Linked DNA regions of Danio rerio. The protein of the gene in region 1 purifies or fractionates together with the protein of each later gene. This does not show direct contact. Links are inferred from orthologs where the notes say so. Each region holds a gene or a part of one and is shown on either strand. Other genes may lie near its edges. The genes, in order: exosc4, hbs1l, mphosph6 and exosc10.

Region 1 (8,579 bases):
TGTTAGTCTTAATGTGCTTTAAAACAACAATAAGAAGCTACAAATATTCAAAGATTGGGTTTAACATAAGTAAGCTAACTCTGCCATCTAGAGAACAACCTAAAATACAGTATGAGGATTACTCGCATTAGTGAGAACTCAAATTAATCCAGCAGATGGCGGTAGAAGATACACAAGGAAAGCAAAATCCACAGCAGAAGAAGACCTGTGCGGAACAACAAGAAGAAGTTCATCACACACACGCGTGTTTTCAGTTAAGAAGCGGAGAGATATGGCGGGTCTGGAGCTGCTGTCGGATCAGGGTTACCGACTTGACGGACGGAAAGCGACCGAGCTGCGGAAGGTGCAGGCCCGCATGAGTGTGTTCGCGCAGGCCGACGGGTCTGCTTATCTGGAGCAGGGCAACACTAAAGCTCTGGCCGTGGTGTATGGGCCACATGAGGTGTGTGTTTGTGATGTCTTGGGTATGATAACGTTACAGGTATTACAATGATATGGTGAATTATGAGGACATGCTAATAATAAAATGCGACACACATAAATCTCTTTTTTTATTGAATAACGTTACAAGAATAATAAAATCACTGCATTGAAGAAAAAATACAATAACAAAAAATAAGAAAGGAGAGAGAGAAATAAAAAACACAGCATCAATCAAGAAAAAAGATTGTCATAAGCTTTAAGAAACTTATTATTATTAATAAGCTTAAGAGATTCAATATTGTACGAAATTTCAACAAGGAAAGTATTAAAAATAGGTATTGTTTGTATAAACTTATTTTTCGTGTATAAAAAATTTACAGTGTAACACAAAAAACCAAGTGTGCCGCAAGCCTACCTTTGAGTGAAGGTTTCGGCCGTTAGATCGCCCCCTGGGGGCTGGCTGCAGTACAAGTCATAAAGCCCGCCTCCTCCGTGTTAATGAAGGAGACTTGAGCCCAAATAAAAAAAAAATATTACACTTGCAATAAAATGTCCCGAAAGATAGTTCTGGTCGATTAAGGCACTGGTTATTGTGCTGAAATAGGTGCAGATCCTCATTTTTGTAAACAGTTTGTTTTTAGCAGTAATTTAATGCTGGGCGTGTCATCGTGATTGACAGCTGTGATTGACAGTTTCTCAAAGCAGCGCGTCTGAGCTTCGGCAGGAGACTGAAGTAGACTGAAATGTTATTATTCGATTTCTGTGTTATTTTACCGTGACAAAATGAGTTCAGCAGTAAACTACAGTTTCTGACATACATGATCCTGGTGGAACACTGTTTATTCGCTAAGTTCAGGGCTTTTTTCGGGCTTTATTAGTTTGCTGATACACGCCTAGCCACCCAGATAGCAAAACACAGTTCCGGCTAGATTCTCGCCTGCCGGAGACTTATCTCTTAGAGCTCAGACTGACTAATGTTACCTCTGCTGGACCTACTCCGGATGCCTGGACTCACTACCCAATTCCAGCCCGAGTCAATCGAGCCAGATGCGGCGGCCGAGCGAGCCGGCGCTGCCGCATGTGAGCCGGAATCAGCCCGCGACGCCGCGAGTAAGTTATGTGTTGCGGCCTGGAGCTGGCGCGATTGAATATATAAAACCCTCATATTTGTTAACGTTATTACATCCATTTGTGTTGATATGACAGCAAACGCACGCTGAGCAGTTCGGGGGGCGTGGTTGATTTTACATAAAGCGTTTGGTTGGAAGCTCGACTCCGCTCATTTTCGCGGCTCCTCCTCTGGCTCCATCAGACAGTCCTTCTGCGCATGTCTGGCTCCAATTTCAGCAGTCTTTTGCGACAGTTTGTGCCCGTCAAGCAGGCGTTTTGCCCTCAAGGCGTTCAATGGGAAAAAGGGCTGTCGCGTCGTCCATATTTTTTACAGTCATTGCAAAAAACACATAAATCTCACAGACATCATCAGAATGTATTATGATGTATTTAACCAATAACTGTATACCCTGCTGAAAAATCCAGCTTAAACCAGCCTAGGATGGTTGGCTGGATTTAACTGGTCGACCAGGCTGGTTTTAGTGGGTTTTTGGCCACTTCCAGCCATTTCCAGCCTGGTCTTAGCTAGGGCTGCTCGATTTTGGAAAAAATCATAATCACGATTATTTTGGTCATAATTGTAATCACGATTATTCAAAACGATTATCAGTTGAAGTCAAAATTATTAGCACTTTATCCTAGGCTGGTTCAAGCTGGATTTTTCAGCAGGACTATATATGAAACTGGGAATATTTTCTCTGTCAGTGGTCAGAATGTCAGTGGGATCTCATTTGTTATTATTTTTAAAATAAATTAAAACAAGAACAACACATTTCCGTATGTTTTTAAGTATTCGTGGATTCAATATAATAATATAATTCTTAATTAGTTAAACTGTCTAATATAATTGATTAAAATGGTGCTGTGAATAATAGACAATAATTATTACAAAACACTCAGGCCAGAATCTCTGCAGTAACGTTGTCCAACGTGTCGGTTATGTGTAACATCCAATATTTTATCATCGTTTAACTGAATAACATGTTGGAGTTCATCTTTGTCCCTGTAGATTCGAGGCTCTCGCAGTAAATCCTTGCATGATCGCGCCATCATCAACTGTCAGTACAGCATGGCCACGTTCAGCACGGCGGAGAGGAAGAGACGTCCACACGGAGACCGGAAGTCCAGCGAGATGAGCCTCCACCTCAAACAGACCTTTGAGGCTGCGGTGCTCACTGAGCTCTACCCACGCTCACAAATCGACATCTACGTCAAGGTACATGGACTTCTTTACGTTCATGCCGTTTATCATCCATCCACTCACCTGCCCAATTTTGCATCCACCAATCTCTGCATCAGTCGTTGATCTATTCTTAAATGCCCCCATGCATCTGTGCTTTCATTCATCCATCACCGTAAATCATATTGTATATTGATACTGAGTGCACTTTGGATGTTTTTAAAAACGTATACCAAATCATCCACACATGCATCCATCTGTGCATCCATCCATGCATAAGTTAATTCACATATTTGTACACATCTTAACATCCAGTGATCCATGCATGAATCGATCCGTCCATCATCATTCAAGCACATCCGTCCAAGCCTTCATCTGTTCATCCACTCATCCATCTGCTCAGTTGGTCATATGTCCAACCATACATCCTCCCTGGATTCTATCTGGAAATTCATCCATCCACCCACACCACTATCAATCCATGCATTTATTCAGCCATCAATCCATGCATCCACCCAGTTATCCATCCCTTCATGCATCCGCCCAACTATCTATCCATTCATCCATCCACCCACCCAACCATAAAATCACCAAGCTATCAATCCTACCCTTCATCTACCCACCCAACAGTCCATCCACCCACCCAACAATCCATTCATGCATCCATCCACCCAACAGTCGATCCAACCATTCATCCACCCAACTGTCCATGCATCCACATAAATATCCATCCATCCATGTATACACCCCACTGTCAATCAACTCATCCACCCACCCAACTATCGATCCAACCATTCATCCACCCAATTAATTATCCATCCATGCATTTACCCACCCAACAGTCCATCCATCTATGCATTCCCCAACTATTCATTCATCCAGCATACACCCACCTACCCATCCATCCACGTACCCAACTATCCATCTATCTATCCATCCACCCAACTATCCATCCACGCACCCAGTTATCCATCCGTCTACCCACCCAACTCCATTCATGCACCCACCCAACTATTCATCCATCCGACTTTCCATCCTCCATCTGACTATCCATCATCCATCCGACTATTCATCCATCCAACCACCAACTTTCCATCCCACCAACCACCTAACTCCATCCATGCACCCATCCAACTATCTTTCCATCCAGCATACACCCACCTTCCTATCCATCCACATACCCAACTATCCATCTATCCATCCATCCACGCACCCAATTATTCATCCATCCACCCACCTAACTCTATTCATGCACCCAACTATCCAACTATCCACCAACCCAAATTCATTTGTGCACCCACCCAACTATCCATCCATGCACCCACCCAACTATCCATCCATCTATCCACCCAACTATCCATTCAACTACCCATCCATCCATCCATCCATCTCTGCATCCATCCACCCAACTATCCATCCATACACCCACCCAACTATCCATTCACCCATCCAACTCCATTCATGCACCCACCCAACTATACATCCAACCACCCAACTATACATCCAACCACCCACTCAACTCCATCCATGGACCCACCCAACTATCCATCATACATGCATCCTGCATTCATCCACCTAACTACCCATCCATCCACACACCCAATTATTCATCCATCCACCCACCTAACTCTATTCATGCACCCACCCAACTATCCAACTATCCACCAACCCAAATCCATTTGTGCACCCACCCAACTATCCATACATCCAACTATCCATCCATCCATCTGACTATTCATCCATCCGACTATTCATCCATTTATCCACCCGACTATTCATCCATCCATCCACCCAACTATCCATCCCAACAACCAACTAACTCCATCCATGCACCCACCCAACTATCCATCCATCTATCCACCCAACTACCCATTCGTCTATCCATTCAACTACCCATTCATCCATCCATCTCTGCATCCATCCACCGAACTATCCATCCACACACCTACTCCCTATCCATTCACCCATCCAACTCCATTCATGCACCCACCCAACTATACATCCAACCACCCAACTATACATTCATCCATCCATCCACCCAACTATCAATCCAACCACCCACTCAACTCTACCATGGACCCACCCAACTATCCAACATACATGCATCCATCTATCTTTGCATTCATCCACCCAACTACCCATCCGTCCAACCATCCATCCACGCACCCAACTATCCATCTATCTACCCAACGCTATTCATGCACCCACCCAACTATCAATCCATTCATGCAACTATCCATCCATCCACGCACCCACCCAACTATCTATCCATCTACCCAACGCTATTCCTGCACCCACCCAACTATCCATTCATAAATGCAACTATCCATCCATCCACCCACCGACTCCATCCAAGGATCCACCCAACTATCCATTCGTCCTCCACCCAATTACCCAGCCATCCACCCACAATCCATCAATCCATCCATCCATGCATGCATATTGGCTTTAAATTATTGTGATAATTTTTTCTGTTGAACGTAAGAGCCAGATCAAACTATAACTCATATTATTACAGTTGCAGTACATGACAAGATTCCAAAGACACTTTAAATACTATTACAATTCACATTACATGTAACTGACTACAACAGCACCATGTCTTTGATTTGTCCTGCGCTGTAGATCCTGCAGGCGGACGGTGGAAACTACAGCGCGTGTGTCAATGCTGCTACATTGGCTCTAGTGGACGCTGGGATCCCCATGCGCGATTATGTGTGTGCGTGCAGCGCTGGGTTTGTGGAGGACACCCCGCTGGCAGATCTGTGTCATGCAGAGGAGAGCGGTGGAGGAACAGCGCTGGCTCTGGCTTTGCTGCCTCGTAGTGGAAATATTGCCCTGTTGCAAATGGACGCCCGGCTCCATCAGGACCACCTGGACACACTGATGGAGGCGGCCATGACGGCGTGCAAAGAGTTCAGTAAAGTTCTAGACAGTGTCGTACGGCAGCATCTAGAGGAGGTTTCAGATCTGACCAGAGATTGAGATGGAGATTTAATGGACATCTATGGAGTCAGATCAGTGTCAAAAATAATACATTTACAAAATATAATTTGCTTAAATATGATTCAGAAATACACAAATCCAATTCATTTGGTGAAAATATTATATATGATATTCACTGGTGAATTCATGAACTGTGTGTTGCGTTTATGAATAGTGTTTTGATTTTATGAATTGGATTATGTAATTGTGAATTGTGATGTATGAACTTTTAGTAAATTAATTATTTTTGAGACTGATCTGACTCCATAGGAAATGCTCTATTAATTTGTTATTCATTTAATCTTTGAAGCATGCGCTTGGACTGAAAAAAAAAAACAGATTTGATCGACATGTATGGAGTTAGATCAGTCTCAGAAATAACACATTTACAAAATATAATTCACAAGTTTAAATATAATTAAAAAATACACAAATCCAGTTCATTTGGCGAAAATATTTATGATTTTTACTTGTGAATCTATAAACTGTGTGTTGTATTTATGAATTGTGTTTTGAATTTACGAACTTAATTTTATAAATGTGAATTGCGCTATGCATGTATGAATATCATTTCATAAATGTATTATTTTTGAGACTGATCTGACTCCATAGGAAATGCTTTAGTCATTTATTCTTCATTTTAGTGTCTGAAGCATGCGCTTGGACTGAAAAACACACAGAATTGATAGACACAGAAAAAAATAAGTTTATATATCAGCTTATCCAGAAGAAATGCCACCTAAAAAGCGCTGAACACATTTTGTTATAATAATGTCCTCTGTTGTGAGAGAGTTGTAATAAAACAATGGTATGTTTTTAACAAATGAACACTTTTCCTTTTGTGTTTTATCAAATTAACCATTATTTAATCAGATTTAGTACTCCTAATAAACAGTGGGGATCGAAAGTTTGGGCGCCCCAGGTAAAAATTTGAATTAATGTGCATAAAGAAGCCACGACAAGATGGAAAAATCTCCAAAAGGCTTTAAATTACAGATTAGACATTTTTTTAATGTGTCAAAAAAGTTAAACTTTATTTCCATCATTTACACTTTCAAAATAACAGAAAATAAAAAAAAAAACATTCTGGGAACGTTCTCTGTAGGTTTTTTTTTTTTTTTTGGTAACCAAAATATAACCTTCCCAGAACGTTCTCTGCAGGCTATTTTCAATGGTTAATTTATTACCTACAGAGAACCTTCCCAGAACATTCCCTCTAGGTTTTATTTAGGTTTTTTTCATAACCTTGAGAGAACCTTCCCAGAACGTTCATTGTAGGTTAATTTTGGGATCTATTTTATAACCAAAAGAGAACCTTCTCAGAACGTTTTTTTGTTGATTATAATATCTTGAACTGCCGCCTTTGGCAAGTATCACAGCTTGTAAATGCTTTTTGTACAATTTTAAGTTTACAGTTTACATTTCAGATATAACTTTGTTTCAAATGTTACACTCTAAAAAAACGTTGAGTTATTTATTTAACCCAATAATTAAGTTAAACATATTTGGTGCTTTGTTGGGTTATTTTAACCTTTATTATGTTATTTATTAGTAACTCAACCAGTTGGGTTAAATAGTATGTGCTTTGTTGGGTTATTTTTAACCTTTATTATGTTATTTAATAGTAACTCAACCAGTTGGGTTAAATAGTATGTACTTTGTTGGGTTATTTATATCATAACTCAACCAGTTGGGTTAGAATTTTTAATTTCAACAGTCAACTGATTTAACTGACACAGAACAGCTGTATTAATATGTGCGCTTAATGTTGTTTTTGCATTCTAAAGTTTATTTAAGCTCTTAACGCAATAATATTGTTGTCTTTAGCACCCAGCGGAGACATTTATTTATTTACACTATCATAATTATAAAATTAATAGTAGTAATAGTAATAGAGTAATACCAGAATGAAAAAAAAACATGTATTTAAAATAACCCAATGCATTGAGTTAAAATACCCCATAGTTGGGTTTAATGTTGGGGTATTTTTAACCCAACTATTTTATCAGAGTATGAAAAATGCACAAATACAATCCCAATACAGTAAAAAGAATTAAATTGGAAAACACATGTAGGGGTATATACATCATCACAAATTAAAGGAAAATATTACATAATTTACAAATTTTACAAGTTCTCCCCTGTAAAATGATGACGTGATGCTGGGTTATGGCGTCATTCACAGAAAGTATGTAGGCTATCAATAAGGAAGTTAAAGCGCCGGTAGTTCCCCTTTACTATATGAGAACTACGAGTGGATCCAACGTGTGCTAACAAGTTCGTGTCTGGACATTTTGGCTGATTTCTGGTCGCCGATGTGGAATTTGAAGCACCGTTTTCTTACCGGAACGAGTTAAAAACTGAACAGTAGTGAAAAACAACAAAACGAAAAGAGAGGATGGATGTTACTCACCTGACGGAGGACGAAATGGCCGATATAAAGAAGGAAGTGAGTAAAACGAAACAAAACGCGTTAATGAAATCGAGAATCTATTAATCAGATAATGCCTTCGTAAAAGTAGAAGTGAAAGCGCTGAGGGGCACTGACCACAAACCTGATCGATGCAACCAAACGTTTATCAGGTGTAAAAACCTGAAAGCAAATGATTTCCAAATGAGTTCGTCAAGTTTTTATACTCCGACTTCACTTTATTAGAGTGTGAACTGCTTTATGAAGTACCTAAGACGAGCATATTAATCATATTGGTCTACGAGATTAAATAAACCCACATTAAAACATACTACAGTGGACTAACTTAATTCTGGCAAATATTAGTGTTTATGAACAATGCTAAAGTAGGCTAACGTTACTTGAATTAATCTGTTGTGGTAATTTTGTTGTTGTTATGGTAATACAACAGTATAAACATGTCACAATACT
Region 2 (7,478 bases), on another chromosome or scaffold:
CATCTAAACTCTTCAATTACTCACTATATGGTGTTTATTTCCTGCCGTATTTCTCATGTACATATTTTGTACTTATGACAGTGATTACGAAGATGAGGTTATAGCAAGGTACTGTCCCTAAACCTAAGCTTAACCGATGTCATCACTTTTTAAAGCTTAGCAAGTAAACGTTTAGTACATGTACTGTAAGGTGCAGCCAGTACATGGAGCAGGTGTATCAAGGACACTGTGAAAAGTGAATTAAAATAAATCTATATAAAATATAATATAAAAAATTTAATATTGTGAATTTTTTGTTTTAAAATTTATTTGAAATAAAATATATATGAAAATCTGAAATAAACCGTATTAATTAATTAACCTGATAGAAAAAATTCATTTGTTGTAGCGAGGAAAACATGTTTTGTGTGACAGAGTTGATAATGATCATATGGTCTGCAGAAGGTGCGGTTCTTTCGATTTTGAACAGATATAGATGTGAATGAGTTATTTCTGCCCTAGTGTGTTTCTCCATCACCAGGCTTGCAAATAAATGATCAAAGACGCTTTTTTTTTGGACGTTGCATTAAAATTTTGATGTGGTGCATTGATAAGCTTGAATGCGTCTGTAATGATGTTAAGTTTGCAAGAGTGTAGCGGTTATGATTTTCACAGAAGCTCTTGTGTCATGATGCTATGATCTATATGTAAATGGTGACTGAGCTGTGAGAGTCGTAAGCAGTTTTACTCTGACTCATCAAGAACTCGTTGAGGAAACAGAGAACCTGTGTCTTTCCTTATCTGTACTCTCTTTCTGCTTTTAGATGCTTTTAAACCTCCCCAGCGGTCAGTGGAGAAGCCCTTCAGGCTCTGTGTGTCAGACGTCTTTAAAGGTCAGCATGGAAACTAACAAACACACCCACAAGTGAAGTTGTGCTTTATCCATATATTGCTTTTTTTAATGCAAGCCAAAAATTAAACAAAACTCTGCCTTTATTCATTCATTGTAGTCAGTTTTTTTGATGGCGATGAGCTGAAGAATCTCACTGTTTTCAGATCAGGGCTCTGGGTTCTGTGTGACTGGAAAGATTGAGGCTGGCTACATTCAGACTGGAGATAAAGTGCTTGCCATGCCGCCTAATGAGACCTGCACTGTTAAAGGTAAACACAAAAGCTTCCACTTTCTAGAAACATGCATTGCTTTAGGGTGTTAGGCAGCAGCGCCCTCCTCTGGTGCTTTCGTGAAAGACCAGTCGTGTGAAAGAAGAAATGGATGTTAATCATAGAGCATGCAAAATATACACTCACCGGCCACTTTATTAGGTGCACCTTACTGGACCTGGGTTGGATTCCTTTTTACCCTCAGAACTGCCTTTATCCTTTGTGGCATAGATTCAACAAGGTTTCTGGAATTATTCCGTAGAGATTTTGGTCCATATTGGCATGATAGCATCACACAGTTCGTGCAGATTTGTCGGCTGCACATTCATGCGGTGAATTTCCCATTCCACCATGTCCCTAAGGTGCTCTATTGGATTACTATCTGGTGATTGAGGAGGCCATTTGAGTACAGTAAACTCCTTGTCATGTTCAAAAAACCAGTCTGAGATGATGGTAAGATGGGTACATACTGTGGTCATAAAGGGATGGACATGGTCAGCAACAATATTCACTGGCTATGGCGTTGACCCAAAGTGGTTATTTGAGTTACTGTTGGCTGTCTATCAGCTGGAACCAGTCTGGCCATTCTCCTCTGACCTCTGGCATCAACAAGGCATTTGCTCCCACAGAACTGCAGCTTATTGAATATTTTCTCTTTTTTAGATGATTTTCTGTAAACCCTAGAGATGGTTGTGCTTGAAAATCCCAGTAGATCAGCAGTTTCTGAAAAACTCAGACCAGCCCGTCTGGCAACAACAATCATGCTACATTCAAAATCATTTGCTGCCATGTGATTGACTGATTAAAAATTTGCATTAACGAGCAGTTGGAAGTGGCCGGTGAGTGTATATGGCCAGTGTACATGTTTATCTGTTTAATGCACTGAATAACTTAATAAAAAATATTTTTTTTTTAATTTAGCACACTGATTTTTGCTAATTGAAAACAGATACATATTATTAAACATCTCTGTGGAACAATATAGTAACACATGGCACATGGGTAACTGATTGTAATAATTAATATATATGTTAATTAATATATGTTAGTAAAATATGTGCTATAAAATAAATATTCAAAAATAAGATTTGTATTAAAATATTTATATATATTTTACAATTTTATTTTTATAATTTAACGTGAATTAAATAAATGCTTTTTATATTAATATTTGTAATGGTGTAATAGTTAAACTCACACACATTATACAGTTGAAGTCAGAATTATTAGCCCCTCTTTGAATTTTTTTTTCTTTTTTAAATATTTCCCAAATGATGCTTAACAAAGCACGGAAATTTTTACTGTATGTCTGATAATATTTTTTCTTCTGGAGAAAGTCTTATTAGTTTTATTTTTGCTAGAATAAAAGCTGTTTTTTATTTTTTTAAAACATTTTTGGGACAAAATTATTAGCCCCTTTAGGCTATATTTTTTTTCTCAATAGTCTACAGAACAAACCACCATTATACAATAACTTGCCTAATTACCCTAACCTGCCTAGTTAACCTGATTAACCTTGTTAAGCCTTTAAATGTCACTTTAAGCTGTATAGAAGTGTCTTGAAAAATATCTAGTAAAATATTATTTACTGTCATCATGGCAAAGATAAAATTAATCAGTTATTAGAAATGATTTATTAAAACTATTATGTTTAGAAATGTGTTGAAAAAAATCTCTCCATTAAACAGAAATTGGGGGAAAAAATAATCAATCAAATATCATCATAAAAAAATTATTGTAAAAAAGAGTTATTAGTTACTGAAATCTAGTTGAGACAGATTCGCAATAATGACTGAATCTTTTAACAAATTTTGTTACTCGCTTTTTTCTTTTTATTTCTCTCCTACTAAGATTGCAAAACTAACGTTATGACACAGTCTTTATAAACTTTAGGACTAAATAAAAAGTCATTGCAGTAGTTTTTATATTGCTTAGTTTTGTTGTTCTGGAAATTGAGGAAATATACTGTGTAGTTAATCATGAATAATCAATACTTAAAAAAATACTTAAATCGATACATATTAAATTTAAGAATTTAACATATTAATTTCAACTAGATTCTCTTGGAATCTTAAAACCAGAATAATAAACTGGTAACACTTTATAATAAGCTTATTAAGGTGTTTTTGTTTGTGCAATTAAACAAACAATATGCAATACATTACATTTCTTACATTCATCTTTGTTGATGTTAGTTAATGAAAATAAAGCTGTTTTTTGTTAAGCTGTTTGTTAGAACTCATGTTAAGAAGTGTGCATTTGGAATTAATAATGCATTGTTGATTAATAAATGCTCTGTGTTGTTCAGTGTTAGTTCATGTTAGTAAATACTTCACATTAGTTAATGAAACCTTAATGCAAAATTTAAATAAGTGTTTATTGAGCACCAGATTAAAAAAATATAAATATGATTTATGATGGATTTTGTAACGCTAAAGGCTAGAGTGGTGCTACACTCATTTTTGGTTATTTTTTTTTATTAATGCAATCTTAATGGATTGTAATTCTATCTAGGGATCAGTCTTCATGATGAAGCATTAGACTGGGCAGCGGCTGGTGATCATGTCAGTCTGACTGTAACAGGCATGGACATCATCAAAATAAAGTGAGTGTGTGTAGAAACACTAGCGTCGAAAGCAATCCCTTCCTTAACGTATATTATAACAGTTCGGTTATATAATGTTTTGATTATGTAATGTTGCGTAATACATGATTAAAAACTTTCTACGGACACGGTTGATTCTGTGTAATCATGTATGTTTTCTTGCTTCTTTCTCTAGTGTTGGATGTGTATTCTGTGATCCCAAAGAGCCCATTAGAGCCTGCACGCGATTCAGAGCAAGAATCCTCCTCTTTAATATTGAACTTCCCATCACTCAAGGCTTCCCCGTGAGAAAACATTTCATCTCTCAGGCTTTTTAGATATAAATATCTTTGCATGTTTCTTGTGGGTTCTTGTGCAAGTGTGTTTGCTAATATTTGTGTATTTGGTGTGTGTGTGTCTGATTGGCAGGTCCTGTTGCATTATCAGACTGTAAGTGAACCGGCCACCATTAGGAAGTTAGTCAGTGTATTACACAAGAGCAGTGGAGAAGTTCTCAAGAAAAAACCAAAGTAAGTGGACGGATGATTCTAGAATCTAAAATGTTACATGATTTTAAGGAACAGTTTCTTTTTAAAGGGTTTTTAACAGCGCAGAAAAATGACATTGTGCATATGTATATCATATTGTGGAGAAGCCAACGCTACATATGTATTTTTTTTTGTATCATGCCGCTTGGTTTTTCCATGCATGCCTTTTGCAGCAGAAAGTTGTGACTTGTGGCCAAGAATGGTTAACTATACTCAGAATTTGAACACACAAACGCCTGGGAAGTAGTTGAGGATTCTGTGCATTGCTCAAGGGAATCACCTCAACCATGGGATTAAGGGTGGTGAGATTGCTGGGTATTTACTCCCAGCACCTTCAGTCTTCACAATTAATAAGCTTTCTATCAAAGGGGGCTTTCGTGTGATAACCACATACATTTAAGCCATTGTTTGTTGAAATACCTTTTTTTCCCGCAGTACCTTTAAAATCGCATTTACACTTCCACGTTACATAACAATGAAAATGTAAAACGTTTCAAAACAAAAACAAAAAAACACATCAGACAAATTTTGGACAAATCAGGTAGTGCAGCAACTTCAGAGCACTTGTGCAAGCTGCTCATACATCATATTCACAATGCAATTATTCTGCATGGGTATAGTAAGGAAGTTTAACAATGGACCCTTTTCACATTTCCGGGTTTCTCAGTAGCAGAATTTGTCATAGTTGGGTAAACTTAAGGTGCATTGAATGGGAGAGTACAGCAAACATATATTTTTTTACAATCCTATTTGCTGAAATAACAAAATAAAAAACTCAACAATGGTGTTATCAAGACTTTCAGAAAACGGAAATAAAATCGGTGAGACCTAAAATGTCAAATTTACTCTCCTGCCCCATTCACTCTGCATAACAAACGCCTCACACAAGTGGTAATTTGTTTTCTGTAATTTGATTCAAAGATGATATAATACATATAAATCTACATACTTTTCTTTTTAATTAAATATTAAAACTTTAGAGGATTTTAGATGCTAATGACGGTTAAATGCATCATAACAGTCTTGTGAAAAAGGGTCCATAATTACAAATTACAGTTATATTATTTAGGGCTTATCTTTTTAAAATGTATCCCATGATTTAGTGGTGTAATGGATCACAAATCTCACTGTTCGCATTAGATCATTTATCATTCACGTTGCGTGGATTTGAATTAAAATCACGATCTTTTAAATTTAATAGTGCAGCTTAAACTGAATGCATTAATGCAGGCTAAAGAAGTGTCAGAAAACACCTTTAATTAATAACCTAAGAAAGCATTTAGGTAGGTCCCACCACAACTTTTTCAGTCATCATTATATTTTACAGGGATGCCATTGTTTTCATACACGTAATTTGAATGACGCTGGGGGCGATCGCTCTGCCATAGTTATAAATGTTGGATCAACTTACAAAAAAATTAAAAATGTTAATGCTCAGGTCACGTATGTTTCGAACTTTGTGTCAACCTTAATTCGTTACAGCCCTACCATGATTTAATTTCTTCAAACAAAATGCATGTTTCTAGTTTACTTTCTATGAACCTTCCTGTTATCAGTTGAAAGCAGATAGGTTCATCTTGTTTAAACTTTATCTTTTGAGGTGCAGTTTTTGGTGCATTAGCAACATCAGGACTGCACTTTTCTGTCTCTTGAGTGTGAAATGTATGCACAGTTAAAATGAATGCTGAAGCACCTTGAAGAGAGTCAGACTATATACAGTATTGTCCTGCTGGTGGCACTAATGCACCAAAAAAAATTATGGAATAATTAACATTTTTGAATGAACTAACCCTTTAACTGGCATCACGGTGGTGCAGTGGGTGGCCTCACAGCAAGAAGGTTGCTGCTTCGAGCCCCATGTTTGCGTGGGTTTTCCCCACAGTCCAAAGACATGCACTATAGGTGAATTGGGGAAGCTGTCCCTAGTGTATGTGTGTGAATGAAAGTGTACGGGTGTTTCCCAGTGATGGGTTGCAGCTGGAAGGGCATCCACTGTGTAAAACATATGCTGGATGAGTTGGTTGATCATTCCGCTGTGGCACACCTTGATTAATAAAGGGACTAAGCTGAAAAGAAAATGAATGAATGAACTAACCCTTTAACTGTCGTGCAGGTGTTTGAGTAAAGGACAGAATGCAGTGGTGGAGATTCAGACACAGAGACCTGTGGCTATGGAGCTTTATAAGGACTATAAAGAACTGGGGCGGTTCATGCTGAGATACGTGGGCTCCACCATCGCTGCAGGAGTGGTCACAGAGGTAAAACTAAAACACCAAATTGTTAAAAGCGTACTTGATTGTACATCGTAAGATGTGATGCTTGTTAATGCCAATGTTTGTATTGTTCTAGATCAAAGAGTAAGAGCCTGTTGGAACTGGATCCTTCAGATTGTACTGACAGAAACCATCAGACTGAAGTGCAATTTCTCCCTCAAAACGTACACAAACATGAAGTGAATACACAAAGATGCCCAGCAGGCAAGCTAACAGTGAATCTAGCCTCAGCTCACGTTACATTTCACAGGCCTCGGGAGGGGAGAGTGAATGTTGGTGTTTGTTTTCTTGTAGTCATTTTTGTCTTGTTTTCAGTACAAATAAAAAAAGCATTCTTAAATCATTATGCAGTTGTTTGAGAGGCAAATTATTAAAGTTCTGAAAGATCTGTCACAATTTTGTTTGTTAAAAACATCTGCCACTAAAATCTAAATAATAAACAAGGGATTTTTCTGATCAACCCCACGTTAATATTTCCTTTGTTTTTGAAGCTTAAAGTAATTTTATTTTGTTACGTTTTAAAAAAATAAACATTACTCTCAATAAATATATCTTGATTTAAGTATGTTTAGATGTTTGTACTGGCAAACAAGACTAAAAAAAAATGAAAAAGAAAATATCTTTTGATAAGTGTAAGGGAGAGAATGCTCTTTGTCTTCCTCCTCATCTTTGCAATAACAACTATAGTAATTAATCCCAAAATTCGGAATTATTTACATTCAAACCCATTTAACAACATATAAAACCACAATGTTTACCTTTAATTTACATTAGGTTGCTTCCTTTTGTTGATTTGCATCAGAAATGGAACTCTTTTAATTTTATTACTTGATATTTTATTTGGATTTTTGGCTATAATATAGCAGCACATAATTGCCATTTATATTTATTCTTCCTCCAAATAAGAGGTTTCAAGGTTAATTAGCAGAAATG
Region 3 (7,777 bases), on another chromosome or scaffold:
TTAAAATTGTCATCATTTACTGCACTTTGATTTATTCCAAATCAAAACAATTTATATTTCTTTCAGCACAAAATAAGATATTTAGAATAAAGCTGAAAACCTGTAACCAGGAAAAACAAATACTATGAAAGTCAATAGTTACCAGTTTGCAACACGCTTTAAAACATTTTCTTTAGTGCAGTTAAAAATTATTTAATCCCAAAGGTTTAGAATATTGACCAAAAGCAAGCAAACAAATAAATAAAATTCAGACATTTCCAATATGTTATATCTAGATCAATGGATCCAAAACCACCAGTAGGTGGCGACAAATACCTGACTGATTCAATAGTGTTTCTTCCCATACTGATAAACTTCCGGTGAACAGTTAATGTGACTTATTTCTAAGGGTGTCACGATCCTAAAGATTCTAAAGGCACGATTCGATTTTCGATTATGAATGATTAATTAATGACCAATTAATTATTTGTAGCCTACCGTTTAAACTACCTGACCTGCATGGTCTTTGTTTTACCCATAAACAAATCATACAGTAAATGAATAAAGGCAAGATGCACACATAATTACCTCCTGTCAATCACTTTTTCTGCGGGACTCGTGAATAGGCAGTGATCTGTGTCATTATAATGGCGTCTGTAAAAAAGACGCACAACCAACAGGAACCAGCCAACAGTGTCTGAGGTGTTCGCTAAAATGACAAAGTACAAGTGAGTGAAAGATTGAAGCAGTCCTCTGACTGCCTGGACCTGCTGTCTCGAGCGCATGGCTGTGTGTGCATCTGTGTCTGTGTGGTCACGTGATGTGCGTTTTCAGAGGTAATGAGGAAGGAGGGCTGCTCAGAAATGCTACACGCCACTGTGGATGTCAAATCGTTGTTGTTCTAAAATGCCATTTAAAAACAAAGACAGTGTAAACAGGGCCTGAGTGTGAACTTTTCGCGAGCGGATTTGCAACGGGGGCGGGCGGAGGATCGCGATGCTGGTGTTGTCTATCGGACGAACCATACGTAATACGTATATAGCAGAGCTTGCAAAACTGTGTTTTTTTTTTTTGTCGACAACACGAACGTTGTCAACATAACTCACTGGAAATCCAAAATGCTTAAACACCGGCGACTTCATTGAAAGAGGAGAGGGTTTAAGCTCTGTCGACGGGTCTCCTGCTTCTGCAGTTTAACAAGCACTTCAACAAGCCTGTTTTTTTCCCGCTTGGCAAGCCAAGCTGACGTGACATCGGGGCGTGGCAGCATCGACGATTCTATTTTGTAATTCGATAATCGAAATTGAGCATAAATTTCGATCGATTTCGATTAAGAATCGAAATCGTGACACCCCTACTTATTTCCATTCCTTTTACAGCATCTATGTTGTACTGCAAATAAAATACAATCAGTTAAATAGACCCAAGCATTTATTTAGTTGATCAAGCGCAAAACGAGATCAAAAGTTGTTTACTCGCACACGTCAGAATCAGCAGGCTAGCGCAGAAGCTCCATTTAACATACTGGGGTAAAATAAATGCTCATATTATAAAGACACGACGGGGGAAATGTAAATTAATGTAGTGTTTCTTGTACAATCTGAGACCCGCTTATATCGTATATCAATTAGGCATTGAAGATGGTTGATTTTTAAAGAAAACAGGCCTTTTTGTAACTGCATACAGTAGGACTGTGCGATAAATCGAATCACAATTTGAAATGTTGCGATTAGCTTATCACAAGAGGCTGCGATATGACATAGATTTGTATTTAATTTCCCACGCCCCGAGCAAATGCATGACTGCAGTCTGCGTGTGACAAGTCTTACAAGCCAATTAAGTGTGCACGCTTTCATCCTGCCCAATCAGAATTGCACTGCCGGATTATGGGGAACGCCCACAATAAAACAAACAAACAGATGAGTGGGATGATGGCGTCTTCCGCATTAATAGACTAAATATTATTAAAGAAAAAAACGCACGTCAGTGATATGGGAATATTTTGTTCACAGACACCAAACAAAAAAAGGTTATTTGTAAGAGCTGCCGCAGGATTGTTGCAGGCATGAGGAAATACAACCAGTACCTAAAATGTCTACAATATTAAATTGCAAATCAAATCTAAATATCTGTTAAAAAAATTTTGCAATTAAGATATTTTCCCCAAATTGCACAGCCCTAGCATACAGCGTTTGAACCAGGACACTTTAAAATGAAAGTCCTAATGCATGTACCCCATTAAAAATGATTCTAGTTCTAATGCAGTCTGACATTAGCAAATATTCGTTGCCTTATGGATATCTGATGGTTTATCAAAATGTCTCTTAAATTGACAAAATTACAAGGTATTTTTAACTTTGCCAGAAACCACATCATCGAGGAGAGAAGTTTCGTTCCCTGTGAGGATCTGGTTTACGGCAGAATGTCATTCAAAGGCTTCAATCCTGACGTGGAGGTACAGCTTTCATCCGTTTACAGCCGTTTGCTTCCGTTTTGTTAACTGTTCTCAATTATTGTGTTCACGTTATTGGAGCATAATCTGAAGAATAAGCTAAAGGCACAATATGTATGATTTTATTTGTATTAACATATTCAAAAGCCACTTGAACAGTTTATTATATCTTTATTTTTCACTCAGTCATCAAAACACACCTTTGTTTGTTGTGAATACACGCCCTCTAGTGGCTAAATTTACATACTGTGCCTTTAACAATGAGCTGAAAATGCACGTCTTGCTCTAATTATAGCCACTGATAGCCACCTGTAATCTAAAGTGGGGTTTATTCATCACAAGTCTGAATCTGTTGCAGAAATTAATGTTACTAATGAACGCACCAAGAGAGGAAGAGGATGAAGAAGAGGAGGACGAGAGCATGAACAAAATGGAAACCGATATTACGGATGAAGAGATGGCCAAAAGGTGAGCAAGGACAAATACATCTGTAATCTACACATCTGTTATATATATATACGAGGATAGTGATGAAATGAAGCGTCTAAACAATTTTACCAATTACTTCGCTAAAGCAATTCGAAACCGCACATGCTAGAAACCCCTGCTGGTCAACACTCAAACAAAAGATGCATTAGAATTGACTCCCAAACATATTAAAATTGAAAGTTTAACCTATAAATAAACTTGGCTCGTCATCTAAGATCATTAAATGTTAAGTCTCTGCATAATGTTCTTTCATTTAGATGTTTTCAAGGCTTATATATTGCTTGTTAAACTGCTAAACAGGCCAGGAGGAGACTATTAGCTACTTTTAACCATTACTCCTTTTCATTTTATACACATCTCCTTAAAATATTTAACAAAATTTGTAAAACTAATCCGAGATCAATCAGTGAAACCTGTTCAGTGATTGGCCACTGGGGGGCGACCTGAATGAATCTGCGTGATTCTTGTAGATTTTATATTGCACAGATCGCCCCCTTGTGGGGAAGCAATTTCGAAACCATATTGACCATAACGAAGCTCAATTTGAATGAAATCCTGTGACCTTGCCAATTGGAAATGCGCACCGAAACCACTGGTTCGAAACAAAATTGTAATGGTTTCGAATGTGGACATCACCAGCAGATGAAAACCTTGATTTTTGCTTTTGTTTTACAGGTATCAAAGTTTGGTTGAGAGCATGAGGAAAAAGTTCGCCAAGAAAAGAGATCGCAGTGCTGTCTCAAACAAAGAGGATGTCAACTGCAACGTCACTGATGATATTAGACCCAAACGAGCTTTCATGAAGCCACAGGACTGAGACATTTTAAATCTGTAAATGCTTTATTTTTTATGCAATGGACTTCTTTTTTTATTAGTAGTATTTTTTTCTGTTTGGTAACAACAAATGCATTGTTAAAAGACTGTCTTTTATGGGAAAAGCACTAGTGGATGGTGCACTAAGGGGTTTTTTGACAATTAAATGTACCATCGTTGAAAAGCGTAGTAGATCCTGACCAGAGTTTCTTAACCAATTCTTTAAAAAATGATGTGTAGAACTTCCATGTTGTTTTTAAATAATCATTAAGAGAGAATCACATTAATGACACTTAACCAATATGCTGTTTAGACGATATGCTGTAGAGTGAAATCTGCTCTCTCACAGAAACAATATATTCATGAGTCAGAAAGTCAGATTGATGAGATTGTGTTGGAAATGTTAAAAAAAGGTTATTCATAGTGTAAAAAAGACTGCAGAACTTACTATAGCATAATTCAACATTCGAACAGTTATTTAATATTGACATTGCACGACTATCTGGGGTCAAAATCCATTGCTGCTGTGTTCACATTGTATAATGGATCAGTGACAGGAAATTACGCACAGCATGACTTTACAACAGGGAAAAAAAAACGCTGATAACTCTTTCTCCCCAATCACCCCAATGACATACAGTGCATTTAGACAATATTGATAGCGCTTTTTCCACTTTTTATGTCACAGCCTTATGCAAAAATGAATTAAATCAATTTATTTCCTCAACATTCTACTCACAATCCCCCAGAATGACAATGTGAAAAAGTTTTTAAAATTGTTGCAAATTTATTGAAAATAAAAAAGCTGTAAAATCACGTGTACATCAGTATTCACAGCCTTTCGCTGAACCTCGGCCATGTAAGCTGAGTGATCGGGGGAGAATGGCCTTAGTCAGGGAGGTGATCAATAACCCGATGGTCACTCTGTCTGAGCTCCAGCGTTCTTCTGTGGAGAGAAGAGAACCTTACAGAAGGACAACTATCTGTGCAGCAATCCACCAATCAGGCCTGTATGGTAGAGTGACCAGACGGAAGACACTCCCCGCCTGGAGTTTACCAATGTGAAGGACTCTCAGAGCATCAGAAACTAAACTCTCTGCTCTGAGACTAAAATTGAACGTCATGCTGTGGGGATGTGTTTCAGCAGCAGGAACTGGAAGACTAGTCAGGATAGAGGGAAAGATGAATGCAGCGATGTACAGAGACATCCTGAATGAAGACCTGCAGAGTGCTCTTGACTGTGGTGACGGTTCATCTTCCAGCAGGATAGTGACCCAAAGCACACCGCCAAAATATCAATGGAGCGGCTTCACAACAACTCCGTGAATCTCCTTGAGTGGCCCAGCCAGAGCCCAGACATAAATCCTATTGAACATCTCTGGAGAGATCTGAAAATGGCTGTACACCGTCACTTCCCATCCAACCTGATAGAGCTTGAGAGATACTGCAAAGGGGAATGGAAAATTCCCAAAGACAGGTGTGCAGAGCTTGTGGCGTCATATTCAGAAAGACTTGAGGCTGTAATCACTGCTAAATGGGCATCAACAAAGTATTGAGCAAAGGCTGTGAATACTGATGTACATCTGAATTTTCAGCTTTTTATTTTTAATAAATTTACAACAATTTCAAAAACTCTCACATTGTCATGATGGGGGATTGTGTGTAGAATGTTGAGGAAATCAATTTAATCTATTTTGGAATAAGGCTGTGATATAAGCATGTGGAAAAAGTGAAGCGCTATCAATCCTCTCTGGATGCACTGTATATAAGTGGCTGTAGGTCCATATCTCCTCCCCAAATATCCCTCTACCCTAAATCTCGCTTGTTTCCTTTTTTTCAGTCAGAATTAATATAATGCAGTCGGCGCCGGTAGCCTAGTGGTGCTGTGCGCTGACATATAGCACCAGTGTGCTCGTGGCGACCCGGGTTCGATTCCCGTCTCGGGGTCCTTTGCCGATCCTTTTCCTCTCTGCTCCCAGTGCTTTCCTGTCTGAATTCTCTACTGTCCTATCAAAAATAAAGGTGAAAAACCCCTAAAAAATCATTATAAAAAAAAAAGAATGAATATAATGCAGCAGGAATCTCAGATTATGCCTCTGATAATTCACACTGTGATCATTATAAGCTCTAATGTGCCTCAGATTTCAGCCGATTGTCTGTGATTTCACTGAAGCCATCAGCGAATAAACAGCATTTCATACGTTTGCATTTCCAACCCCTCCTAAAAGATCCCTATCAAGTACACGACTGTGCGAAACGCCTAAAAGCCGCCCGTTTAATGTGGAATCGCTGTGGCGAGTTTTGCAGGCTGGACGCCGCTCATAAACATCCCGGAGAAGATTTTATCGGACAGTGCCGTCGGACAGTATCTGTACAGTAAAGACAGCACCCACGCTCCGGCCCCGGGGTAGTAGAAGTGTTTCGGGTTGGAGGACAGTATCGCGTGCTTTAAAGACTGCAGAAACGGCCCCTTGTCTTCACTTGATGCTAAAGACATATCCAGCAGCCGCTTCTGCATGGAGTGAATGTATTCTTCACCATACGAGTCCTTCACCTCTTCTGATAAACCACTGAGGATCTGCTCCTGAGCGCGCTCCCACTGCTCGCTGCTGCCCAGGATATCTGCAAACGTCAGCCAGGTTGACTTTAGTGTAGTGGTTAATAAATTATGACTAGATAAATGGGTCATAACTCACCCCAAATCAATAGGTTTGTTACGGTTTTATACAGAAACGGTTACAGCTACAATATAGACCTTTTTCTTGGAACGCATAATTACCCATGATGCTTTGCGTGTATGCGCAAGGAGAATGCGAAGAACTTCCGGTCGGCAGCTGATGCGTGTAAACGGTCACATTTGGACAGCTTTGAAACGATAGTTTTAATCTATTTTATCTGCTTTTATCCTCTTTGAACTAATACTGTTGTCCATCAGCAGCATCTCCTGGACTGATCATTTAAAGAAATGCGATCTAATAGGATGGAAAACAGCTGCTGTGAGGCGTTTCCCCTCGCTGTCAGACGGCATCTTCTGCAGTTTAGATGAAGCCTCGTCATTGCTAAAGTCAACATTTTCTCTTTATTTCAAATATATAACCAGCCCAAACTAATGTAGTTCACCAAAATGTTTGACACACACACGTAGCCTGTACTGTGCCACTGACACACTGATTTAATAACTGTGACAACGTGGAAATACAGGCTAGTGTCATTTCGAAATGACAGAAAAACACAAACCGTGGTGAAAACAACACACAAAATAAAACACAAACGGCTCGCGATTAGAATGAACAGCAAATCAGCAGCAGAGGATCAATAACAGACTTTTATTGCTCATTTTTGTAAATTGCACGACTTTCATACCTGTTAAGTTTCATGCCAGAACTCTAATGTGCTCTCTCTCTCTCTCTCTCTCTCTCTCTCTCTGTGTGTGTGTTAAAGAGCCGCTGAGCTGACAGGCTGACACTGTATTTCTGACAGCAGACACGTGAACTAGGAGAACGTTTTTCTCGTATTTCTGACGCGCTTGAACCACACGTGACAGATTATAACGGCTTTAACAGACACATTTCTAAGTTGTGTGTCACAAAAACACTCTGTTATCCATTACAAACGTTATTGAAACCCATTTTCGGAGCGCAAATGACCAGTTGTACACGCTGTGAACGGAAGTTTTTAGCATACTACCGGAAGACGCAGGTCGCTATTGCGCCCGCCATGCAGCAGCCATGAAAAAGGTCTATAGTGAAGGTCATTCCTATAAAACAATGGTCTGCTACAGAATATAAATGAAATGGGTAACAGATTTGTTCACAATTGTTCATTTACCTCTACTGGAATTTGGTATGAATTTGTCCCTAAAGAGCTCATGCATTTTAAGAGACAGATGAAATCAATAGCCAATAGTATCTGGCTGCAGACCTGCACATGCGATCAATAGTGATAGTGACGTCACTCTGAGGGGTAGAGGTGGGGTTTGGTGTATGCATTAACTTTACTGTTTGGGTTGTTTAATAGACGGCATTACAGCTCATTGGTGTGGAT
Region 4 (8,269 bases), on another chromosome or scaffold:
TAGCATTTTTTGTTAAACTAAACTGTACAGTTTAAATATGTATTTTGCCCACTTTAAAAACTTACTTTGGAAGCTCATCTGCAATTTTCATCATCATGTGGTTTGGTAAGATGTACCTGAGGAGCAGGAACACATTTAAGGCTCAAGTCAATGAAACAAAATATCCTGTGGTCTTATTTAGAAATGTGGCTTGCGCACAAAACGAAGTAAGCCAAGTAAACATATTTCACTTAAATAAGCCACAAAAAAATATATATAAATAATAAAAATATACATATATATATATATATATATATATATATATATATATATATATATATATATATATATATATATATATATATATATATATATATATATATGTACATATATATATATATACATATATATATATATAAATCATAATTCATTTAAATTTAACCTGTTGTACATTTACTTTTAGGAAGGCTGTTAAATTCATAAATCAGATGCCCTGGTCGGTAGTGCCATGCACTGAGTGAGGTTTGGCCATTACCCAGTGCTCTCGTCTTCTTCTCGGGCCAGTTTGTCTCTCCAGGCGTACATCAGTCTGAAGGCTGCCAGCTGCTGTGTGTTAAAGCTCTTCTTCTGCTTGCGGTACAACTCCATGTATGAGTCCTCCGTAAAAATAGGCTTCACATATTTCTAAAGAAAATGGTTGAAAGACACAATATTCAGAAAACACCATTTTGAACCTGTATCTTTGAACAGATTCATCTGAACCGATTCAAAGTGTTTAATAGAGAATATTTGAAATGGGGTTTATTTGGTGTATTTAAAGAGCCTTTATTATGCCATTTTAGAAATACTACTTTTATTAATCTTATTTAATGGCTTTAATTCTAAGTAAAAAAAAAAAAAAAAAAATTCTCATAATGTCAGAAAAGCATTGACTCTTATCTCACAGTGTCTGGAATAATAGCCTCATAGGTCCGTTCTTGTTACACCCTGCCTTTCTCATAGTGTTTCCTGCTCTGATTGGTTAAATGAGCCAGTCTGTTGAGATTTGTTGACCACTTACCGACCATAATCTATGATTATTTAGCTTTTGTAATTAGCTATTTCTGCACATATGACTCTGAACTTTACATAAAGTTTAAATTTGTTTCTTTATTGCCATATCAGCAACTGGTGGCAATTTCATGTCAATATTAATATATAAAAAAACATTACATCCTCGCATGTTACATTATGTCCTTCATTATGACTTTTGTTATTTTGATTTGTTATTTTGGATGGATGGATGTGATGTTATACGTGTTATTTATGTGGAAAGCTGAATATTAACAGTTCAAACATATTACATAGCTTACTATTTTATTAGGAGAATACAAAATAAATGAATAGAAATGACAAATGTTTACACTAAAAACACTTTATTTGATTTTTAATTTAAATGAACATTACTTGAAGAGTAATACCAGGAAAAGCATAACGAGGCACTTTAAGTTTATGTTGAAATGTGTCCATACCTTGAGCGAAAGGTCTCTGCTTTTAGTCCAGACCTGCTGAATGAGGGTGGCCTGCCCGTTGCCCCCATCAAACAGATCTGCTCTGACCCGATCATACACGTACAGCAGGTAGTGAGTGTCAGCCTGAGCATACTTCAACATCTCATCTGGCAACGGCCTACAGGCATAATACATACACTTAATTCTGTCATTATGTGGTGTTCAAATTTTTATTTAAAAAAAACAACATGTACCTCTGTACAAAAATCAAACTCTAACTTGACTAAGGTTATTTTCATGAGCCTATCAGCACTCTGAATGCACATAAAAGGACCACCAAACAGGGTTATCTAAAGGCCAAAATGATTGCTATTACTTTTAGTGTGTGTTTAAAATTGAAATTAGCCAGTGGAGAGAACTATAGTGAGCTTGAAAACAATGAAAAGTGCTTTTTTTGAACCAAAAGATGCAGAAATTAAGCACTCAGCTTTGTGGAGATTATCTACAATTTTAAATGCAGCTCATAAACATCTTACTCTTTGAAAATAATAGTCTATTAATAAGATTTAAAGGCATTTTGTGCCATTAAGATTTAATAGAAACAAAGTTGCATTTTCCATTACTAGCAAAAACAGAGCTGCTGACTATATAAAAATTATCAATTTCGATTAAAAATGTAATTAACTTTCTTGTCGTTTTTAACTCAACAATATTAAGACTTAGCTGTAAAACAGTCAGGGGCCTGTTGCACCAGCAATGCGCAAGTTAAAACGTAGCCTATTTGTGACTTAAAGGGACACCAAGTTACAATTTATGCACTACTAAATATTTGTGTGTTGCACTACTGAACTTACTTTAAACATAGCGCTACGTTTCAACTAAATATTTACAGCAGCCTCCCCCTTGTTTAACAGTAGAAAAGAGACGATATTAGTTTACATAGAGGAGCTCGCGATGATAATGCAGAATGACCTCCCTCTACTCACAGCCTTCATTTCTTCCCAAATCTCACACTTTTTTTTTGTTTGTGAAAGAAGAGTTTAATTTTCTTTTAAGGAGTCTTTTGTGTTTGTTGTATCCATCAGTTGAAACAAAAACCTCATGACCGAGTCATTCTTCCTGCTCTTTTCTCTTTCATGTGAAGAATATAAAAAACTTCATGTGTATTTCGCGTGCATTCAGGTATATGCATAACCTGTTATTAATGACTGACTGTAATTTACTATAAAAATGTAATGTCATTTCATTTTCATAGAAAAGTTCTATATAGATGCATTAGTTGCCGAATTATGCAGTTTAACGATTTAAATGCTTTCTATTGGATATTACGTCATTCAATGCGACTACGCATGACTTTACAGAGAGCAAATGACCTAACTACGGTTTACCTTGAGAACAAGTGGTGCAACCAAAGTAAGAAAAAATTTAGTTGCAAACTAGCTAGTAGTTACTAAGCCCCTAGTGTGGACTTTACGTTCCAGTTTAAGAAAGATTTTTTGAACAGCTGGTGCAACTCTACCCAGTTGAATTAATGGGGTCTTAATAAGAACTATAAATGTTAGCACATTATTTTAGCTATACTGACCTCTAGAGAAATATTACAGTATCACAGGAAAATTATATTAACAGTTTCATAAAGTGTTTAATAACCCACCATATGTCTACTAAAAAAAACATCTTCACTGGACAAAATATTTAGCACTGTCTTTTTAAACTGAACTTAAACAATGTTAAAAATAGTCATAAAACATGCAAAGTTAAATGTAGTGCTAATTTATTTAATATGTTGATATACTGTTACAACAATCCTTTTATGTCCACACAAAAATATCTTAATTATTGTAACATTTGCAAATATCAAATTATGTATCAATTAATGCTTTAAGATAGAATATCATAATTCCAAGTGGAAATCATTTTTTATAAAGGTTGTTTTGGCATCTGACACATTTTGGCATCCAAACAAATCCCCATTTACAAATTAGAGAAGATACGAATAGATTTTTAAGAATTATTTTCTTGATTTGTTGACTATTTCATTTGCCATACCTAAATGCAAAAACTTATGCAATCTAAAAGTTTTTTTTTTTTTTTTTTTTTTTTTTTACATCAAACAAACAGAAACGGCGTAAACTTAGTTTCGCATAAATTACTTGCAAAAATAAAATAGGAAGTGTATCGTGCTGATCATAATGAGTTGCATGTACCGTATCCTCCAGTCTGCCAGCTGGTAGCGTTTATCAGAGCTCACGTCACAGTATACTTTCAGGAGATGATCAAGAGAGTTGCGGCCGAGGTTAAGACAGCGTGCAGCATGATGAGTGTCAAACATGTTGACCACATAAAGCCCAAAGTCCTTCTGCAGCCACTCAATATCAGAGTCGGCCCCATGAAACACCTGCAGAAACAAGGTATTCACAATATAGTGACACATTTATTATACTAAGGAGAATGAAAGTGGATGGACACTCACAATGCGGAAATTAAAGAGCACCGGCATAGGTGTTTGTGTGGAATACTGGCAAAAGTATTATCTTGATATTTTTTTTTTATAATTAAATTATGATTCATCGAATGTGTTAAATAAATGATACTTCAATTGCCAATAGGTTGCAACAAATCTCGGGCTTACTGAGTGATCATGGACTCAGATAATTTGTTCAAAATTAATCATTGAGGAATATGACAAACAATGTGGTGTTGCTCTGAGGCACCCAAATATTTAGCTCCAGGGTCTTTTGGAAACATTTTCATTAGCTACACAGAAAAATTGACAATGTTGAGCATGAAATGAACTGTTAGATAAAGTCAATATTACTTGCGATCACACTTACCAATTGGTATTACAGTATTGCTGTGAGTGTGTTATATTAAGTGAGTGCACACCGATCGATGCAATTATTCTAAACAAAAGCAACTTTTCCACTATCATTCTGAATTGTTTTTTATGCTGAACTGTTCCATTCCGTGCCAAACCGGGCCAGACAGCACGAATACGATTTCATTTTCCACTGCAACAAAGCTTTTTGAAACATTACACAAATCCCATCAGTAGCTGCCTTGCTAATGCAATGTAAACAACTACACTGCCACTTCGAAAAGCTTTCAAACAAGTCCAAAAAATTAAAGAAAAAGTTGACTTTCTAAAGTAGACTTTTGGACAGCTGACATTGCAACACGCTGTAACCATCCTTCAGGTGTTCCAGCTAATATTAAATTAACAGGCCGTCTGGGCTGTGAATTATTTCCTCGTTCAAAGAGTCTGCAATTTCGTGTTCCATGGATATAGCGGTGTTGTTATGTGTCCAGTACTAATAGATGTGGCAGCTCTTTTCCACAATGAACATCAATCTACTAAGACTAGCATATATAAAAGTAATGTGGCTTGGTAATGGATCCATATGCGCAACTCCTAACATCACAATTAAGTGGACATAAAAGGAAAGAAGAAAATAAATAGCACCAAAAAACTAAACTGTGGAAGTCAATGGTTAAAGGTTTCCAACATTTTTAAAATATCAACTTGTGTTCAGCAGAAGAAAAAACTAAAACAGGTGTCACAAGTGAAGCGTGCAAGTAAATGATGGCAGAATTTTTAGTTTTAGATGAGCTATGCCTTTAATAAACTGCTTCATCATTCATTTGAATGCTCTCTTTCCATATTCTGGCTGAAAAAAAAAACTGACTTAAAAAACACAATGCATATGGTCACCAAAAAAATTGTCTATTGCTTGTAATTCCTGATCTTTAACTGCATGTCTTTAGTAAATCCTGAAAGTTATTAATGAACAAAAAACTTTTAATGAAAACTGTCATCAACATGTACAGATCTTATAGTAACTTTAAAAAGAAAAGCGTAATATTATAAGTCCATCACCTTCACAATAGCAGGGTCTGTGAAAGTCTCGTTTAAGATGTACATCTCGCTGCGTAGCTCTAGCGTGTCTATGATGAAATCCTCCTCTCGTGTGGAAATCTGCATCAAACATGTGATTCCCAGAAAGCTTCTGTAGGAATGATGCTGTGGACAAAGAATTTGGGCAAATTAAAAAAGAACAAGTAATCCAGAAGACTAAACAGCATCATAGAAATTTCCCATACCTCCAGATCCACAGCGAACTCAGTGGTCTTGGCCAATTTCTCATTCAAAGCAACGAGGTCTTCTAAAGTACTGATAAACTGACAAGGGGTTTCGTCAATAGGTTTATACATCTAAAACACAAAGAAAACACAATTATTTCACTGCAAACAAAAATGCTTTTTTGCCTTGTTTCTAGTTCAAATATCTAAAAACGATTAAACCAAGAAGCATTTTCAAGACAAGTAAAACATATTGTCTTGCTTTAAAGGGATGGTCTACTACAATATAATATTTTAAACTTTAGTTGATGTGTAATGTAACTGTGTGAGCATAAACAACATCCCTAAATGTAATATGCTCAAAGTTCAATATAAAGAAAGACATTGGCTTTTACAGAGTTAGCTTAGCAAAGTCTACAGCAAACAAAGTTTGGGGATTACAAAAAATACTTCTGGTTTAATGAGATCTTAAACCCTTTAGGTTACACACACCCCGTGCAGTGAAGGGGCATGGCCAGAGGTGTTGTAATGTTATAGCGGAGAAAGCTAAAATGCTGTCCAAACACTGTTATTTCCGCAAAGCTTGTTCTGTTTCTGTGTTTAGGCTTCTAAATGACATGACACAAAGAGAGAAGTGCTTACAGTTTAATTTTAATCATGTTCCAGAGAATCATAAAAAATATATAGCTAGCATTTGACAAAGGACAGCTTCAAGAATCTCTCCCAGTTCAGTGATGGATTCGGCTTAAAACTCCTTAAAGAAACAGCTCCAGCCATAATAGCAAAAGCTATGGACTGAGCCAAAACCTGTGTTTTTATTTGTTAAAATTAATCTATTACATGCACAGTTTCTAGCGTAAACAGTACAATGTAGCAATAACATAAACAAGGATGTAAACTACGGAAAATGCTGATTGGCACTACTAACAATTTAGCTACAAATTCATATTTATCCATCAAACCGCTGTAAACACCCACAAACTTCAGCTGCGCTGCAGGGTCTCTCTATGCGGCCGCTTTCCGTGCATACTACATCTCACGAGATATGTGAACATTTCATATTACTTAAACATTCACATAATCTGAATATATATATGAAAGACAGTTTTCAGGTTTTATTTTGGAGCAGGGATGGGGTTCAGCTGTATCCTCCTGTCTGATATGGCTTACAGCTACACTGACTGACAGCATTTACACAGCACATTATGTAAGATGACCAATCAGAGCCTCTTGTGGAGAAACTATTAATATGATAGTCGTTTTCATGTTAGCAGAGTAGCAGTATATATTTTAAGTAAGATACACGAAAAAAAATTATGTGATTATCTACAAAGGAAACATGAGCACACATTGCTTTGCATCTTATGAACACAACCAAGGCTTAAATTACACTCTGGACCACTCCTTTAAGACATAATATGCCAAAATTAAGTGAACTGTTCCTTATAACAAGCAAAATAATCTGCCTATATGGGTAGCAGAAAAAAATATTATTTCAAAGCAAAAACAAAATGATTTAGCTTACGCCATTGGTGGATTCATTTGCCTGGTTTTAAGGAAAACTCACTTGATTTTGGCATAATATTTCTTAAAAATGATATAATATATGTTCTGTTTGTCTAGAAAATGCTTCTTAATTTTAAGACTTTTTAGATATTTGGACTAAAAATAGACAAAAACAGTTTTTTGCAGTGTTAAAAGAACATAAATGTCAGGGGAGAAAAGCTGAATAAGGCTTTGACCTGGACTTCAGGTTTACACTTCAGATTCTCTGGCATGACCAGATGGTCCAATTCATACTGATATGGGTGGGAAAACCTGGAAAACAGCATTACAACTAATTTATTACAAAGAAGAACAAAATTAGCACTGATGCAAGGTAAGTAACAGAGGCATTGAATAAATCCCTTAAACGCATCTTACATGTCGTCCACGTGCTCTTTTGTCCTCTGCTGATGAATAAAATCTGCCAGAGCAGCAGGGACATCTAGATCCTCCGGCCTCTCCTTGCGAATGTGCTTGTCGGCAAAATCTGGTCACACATTTGGTTAGAGTTTAGTGTTTGCTTTATTATTTTTAATATACATTACTTTTTATTTTTATAGTTTTCCCTAGGGGTGTGCGATATTTATCATCCAAAACAACATTGCAATGGTTGTTTAAAGAATGTGTAAGCTTACATTAGCTAGGTTTCCATCCAAATAAATTTGCTAATAAAACACTATTTCAATTGAGTGAGACAGAGTGAAATGCATTTTTTTCTATAAAATAAATTAATTGTGCCTCAAGACAAAGACAAAACATAATGAACTAATAATACCAATAGACTTAGATGACAGACTTTGGCTGAGGGATTTTAGAATGACCAAAACAACATTTTAGATGATTTAAAATGTGGTCAAATCTGCTGGTTTATCATCACACTTATTTAAATATAATTAAAATAACTTTAAAGATAAATTTATTTTGTAAATGCATTTCCGTCTTTTTAAAGACTTAAAAAATGTATCCTACCAATATACCAAAATGAGCATAAAACAGGTGGATGAAAGAGAGTATTTACTGCCTTTTAAAAAAAATATTAAAAACAAATCTTGAGAGATCAAAATTACTGAATGAGTGATGTTTAAGCAAGTAAGCCGGGGCGCCGCTGACCAGTACGGGCCCTATGACAACATTCTGGTGGGCACTGTAGTGTACGAAAGTGAATAGCAGGTGGT

The links.
Region 2: the proteins of exosc4 (region 1) and hbs1l purify together in Homo sapiens (affinity purification with mass spectrometry; 3 studies listed by BioGRID and IntAct, with this or other methods). This does not show direct contact. The link is inferred for Danio rerio from reciprocal best matches to the Homo sapiens genes EXOSC4 and HBS1L.
Region 3: the proteins of exosc4 (region 1) and mphosph6 purify together in Homo sapiens (affinity purification with mass spectrometry; 7 studies listed by BioGRID and IntAct, with this or other methods). This does not show direct contact. The link is inferred for Danio rerio from reciprocal best matches to the Homo sapiens genes EXOSC4 and MPHOSPH6.
Region 4: the proteins of exosc4 (region 1) and exosc10 purify together in Homo sapiens (affinity purification with mass spectrometry; 9 studies listed by BioGRID and IntAct, with this or other methods). This does not show direct contact. The link is inferred for Danio rerio from reciprocal best matches to the Homo sapiens genes EXOSC4 and EXOSC10.

Annotation. Positions count from the first base shown.
Region 1 is NC_133177.1:2,084,848-2,093,426, forward strand, and holds exosc4 (exosome complex component RRP41), read left to right. Parts: upstream 1-216; 5' UTR 217-271; coding exon 272-442; intron 443-2,542; coding exon 2,543-2,749; intron 2,750-5,338; coding exon 5,339-5,698; 3' UTR 5,699-6,526; downstream 6,527-8,579. Other genes in the region: bcl10 (B-cell lymphoma/leukemia 10), read left to right, coding at 8,097-8,147. UniProt on the Homo sapiens protein: Non-catalytic component of the RNA exosome complex which has 3'->5' exoribonuclease activity and participates in a multitude of cellular RNA processing and degradation events.
Region 2 is NC_133198.1:34,710,428-34,717,905, reverse strand, and holds part of hbs1l (HBS1-like protein), read left to right. Parts: intron 1-803; coding exon 804-872; intron 873-1,035; coding exon 1,036-1,140; intron 1,141-3,654; coding exon 3,655-3,745; intron 3,746-3,920; coding exon 3,921-4,029; intron 4,030-4,153; coding exon 4,154-4,254; intron 4,255-6,385; coding exon 6,386-6,530; intron 6,531-6,621; coding exon 6,622-6,633; 3' UTR 6,634-7,478. UniProt on the Homo sapiens protein: GTPase component of the Pelota-HBS1L complex, a complex that recognizes stalled ribosomes and triggers the No-Go Decay (NGD) pathway.
Region 3 is NC_133200.1:38,535,744-38,543,520, reverse strand, and holds the end of mphosph6 (M-phase phosphoprotein 6), read left to right. Parts: exon of another isoform or gene 1-1,052; intron 1,053-2,244; exon of another isoform or gene 2,245-2,296; coding exon of another isoform or gene 2,297-2,343; coding exon 2,344-2,434; intron 2,435-2,789; coding exon 2,790-2,899; intron 2,900-3,595; coding exon 3,596-3,737; 3' UTR 3,738-4,436; downstream 4,437-7,777. Other genes in the region: hsd17b2 (17-beta-hydroxysteroid dehydrogenase type 2), read right to left, coding at 6,009-6,355. UniProt on the Homo sapiens protein: RNA-binding protein that associates with the RNA exosome complex. Involved in the 3'-processing of the 7S pre-RNA to the mature 5.8S rRNA and play a role in recruiting the RNA exosome complex to pre-rRNA; this function may include C1D.
Region 4 is NC_133198.1:16,321,419-16,329,687, reverse strand, and holds part of exosc10 (exosome complex component 10), read right to left. Parts: intron 7,582-8,269; coding exon 7,473-7,581; intron 7,368-7,472; coding exon 7,292-7,367; intron 5,682-7,291; coding exon 5,571-5,681; intron 5,491-5,570; coding exon 5,347-5,490; intron 3,868-5,346; coding exon 3,677-3,867; intron 1,648-3,676; coding exon 1,491-1,647; intron 664-1,490; coding exon 515-663; exon of another isoform or gene 199-514; intron 117-198; coding exon 66-116; intron 1-65. UniProt on the Homo sapiens protein: Catalytic component of the RNA exosome complex which has 3'->5' exoribonuclease activity and participates in a multitude of cellular RNA processing and degradation events.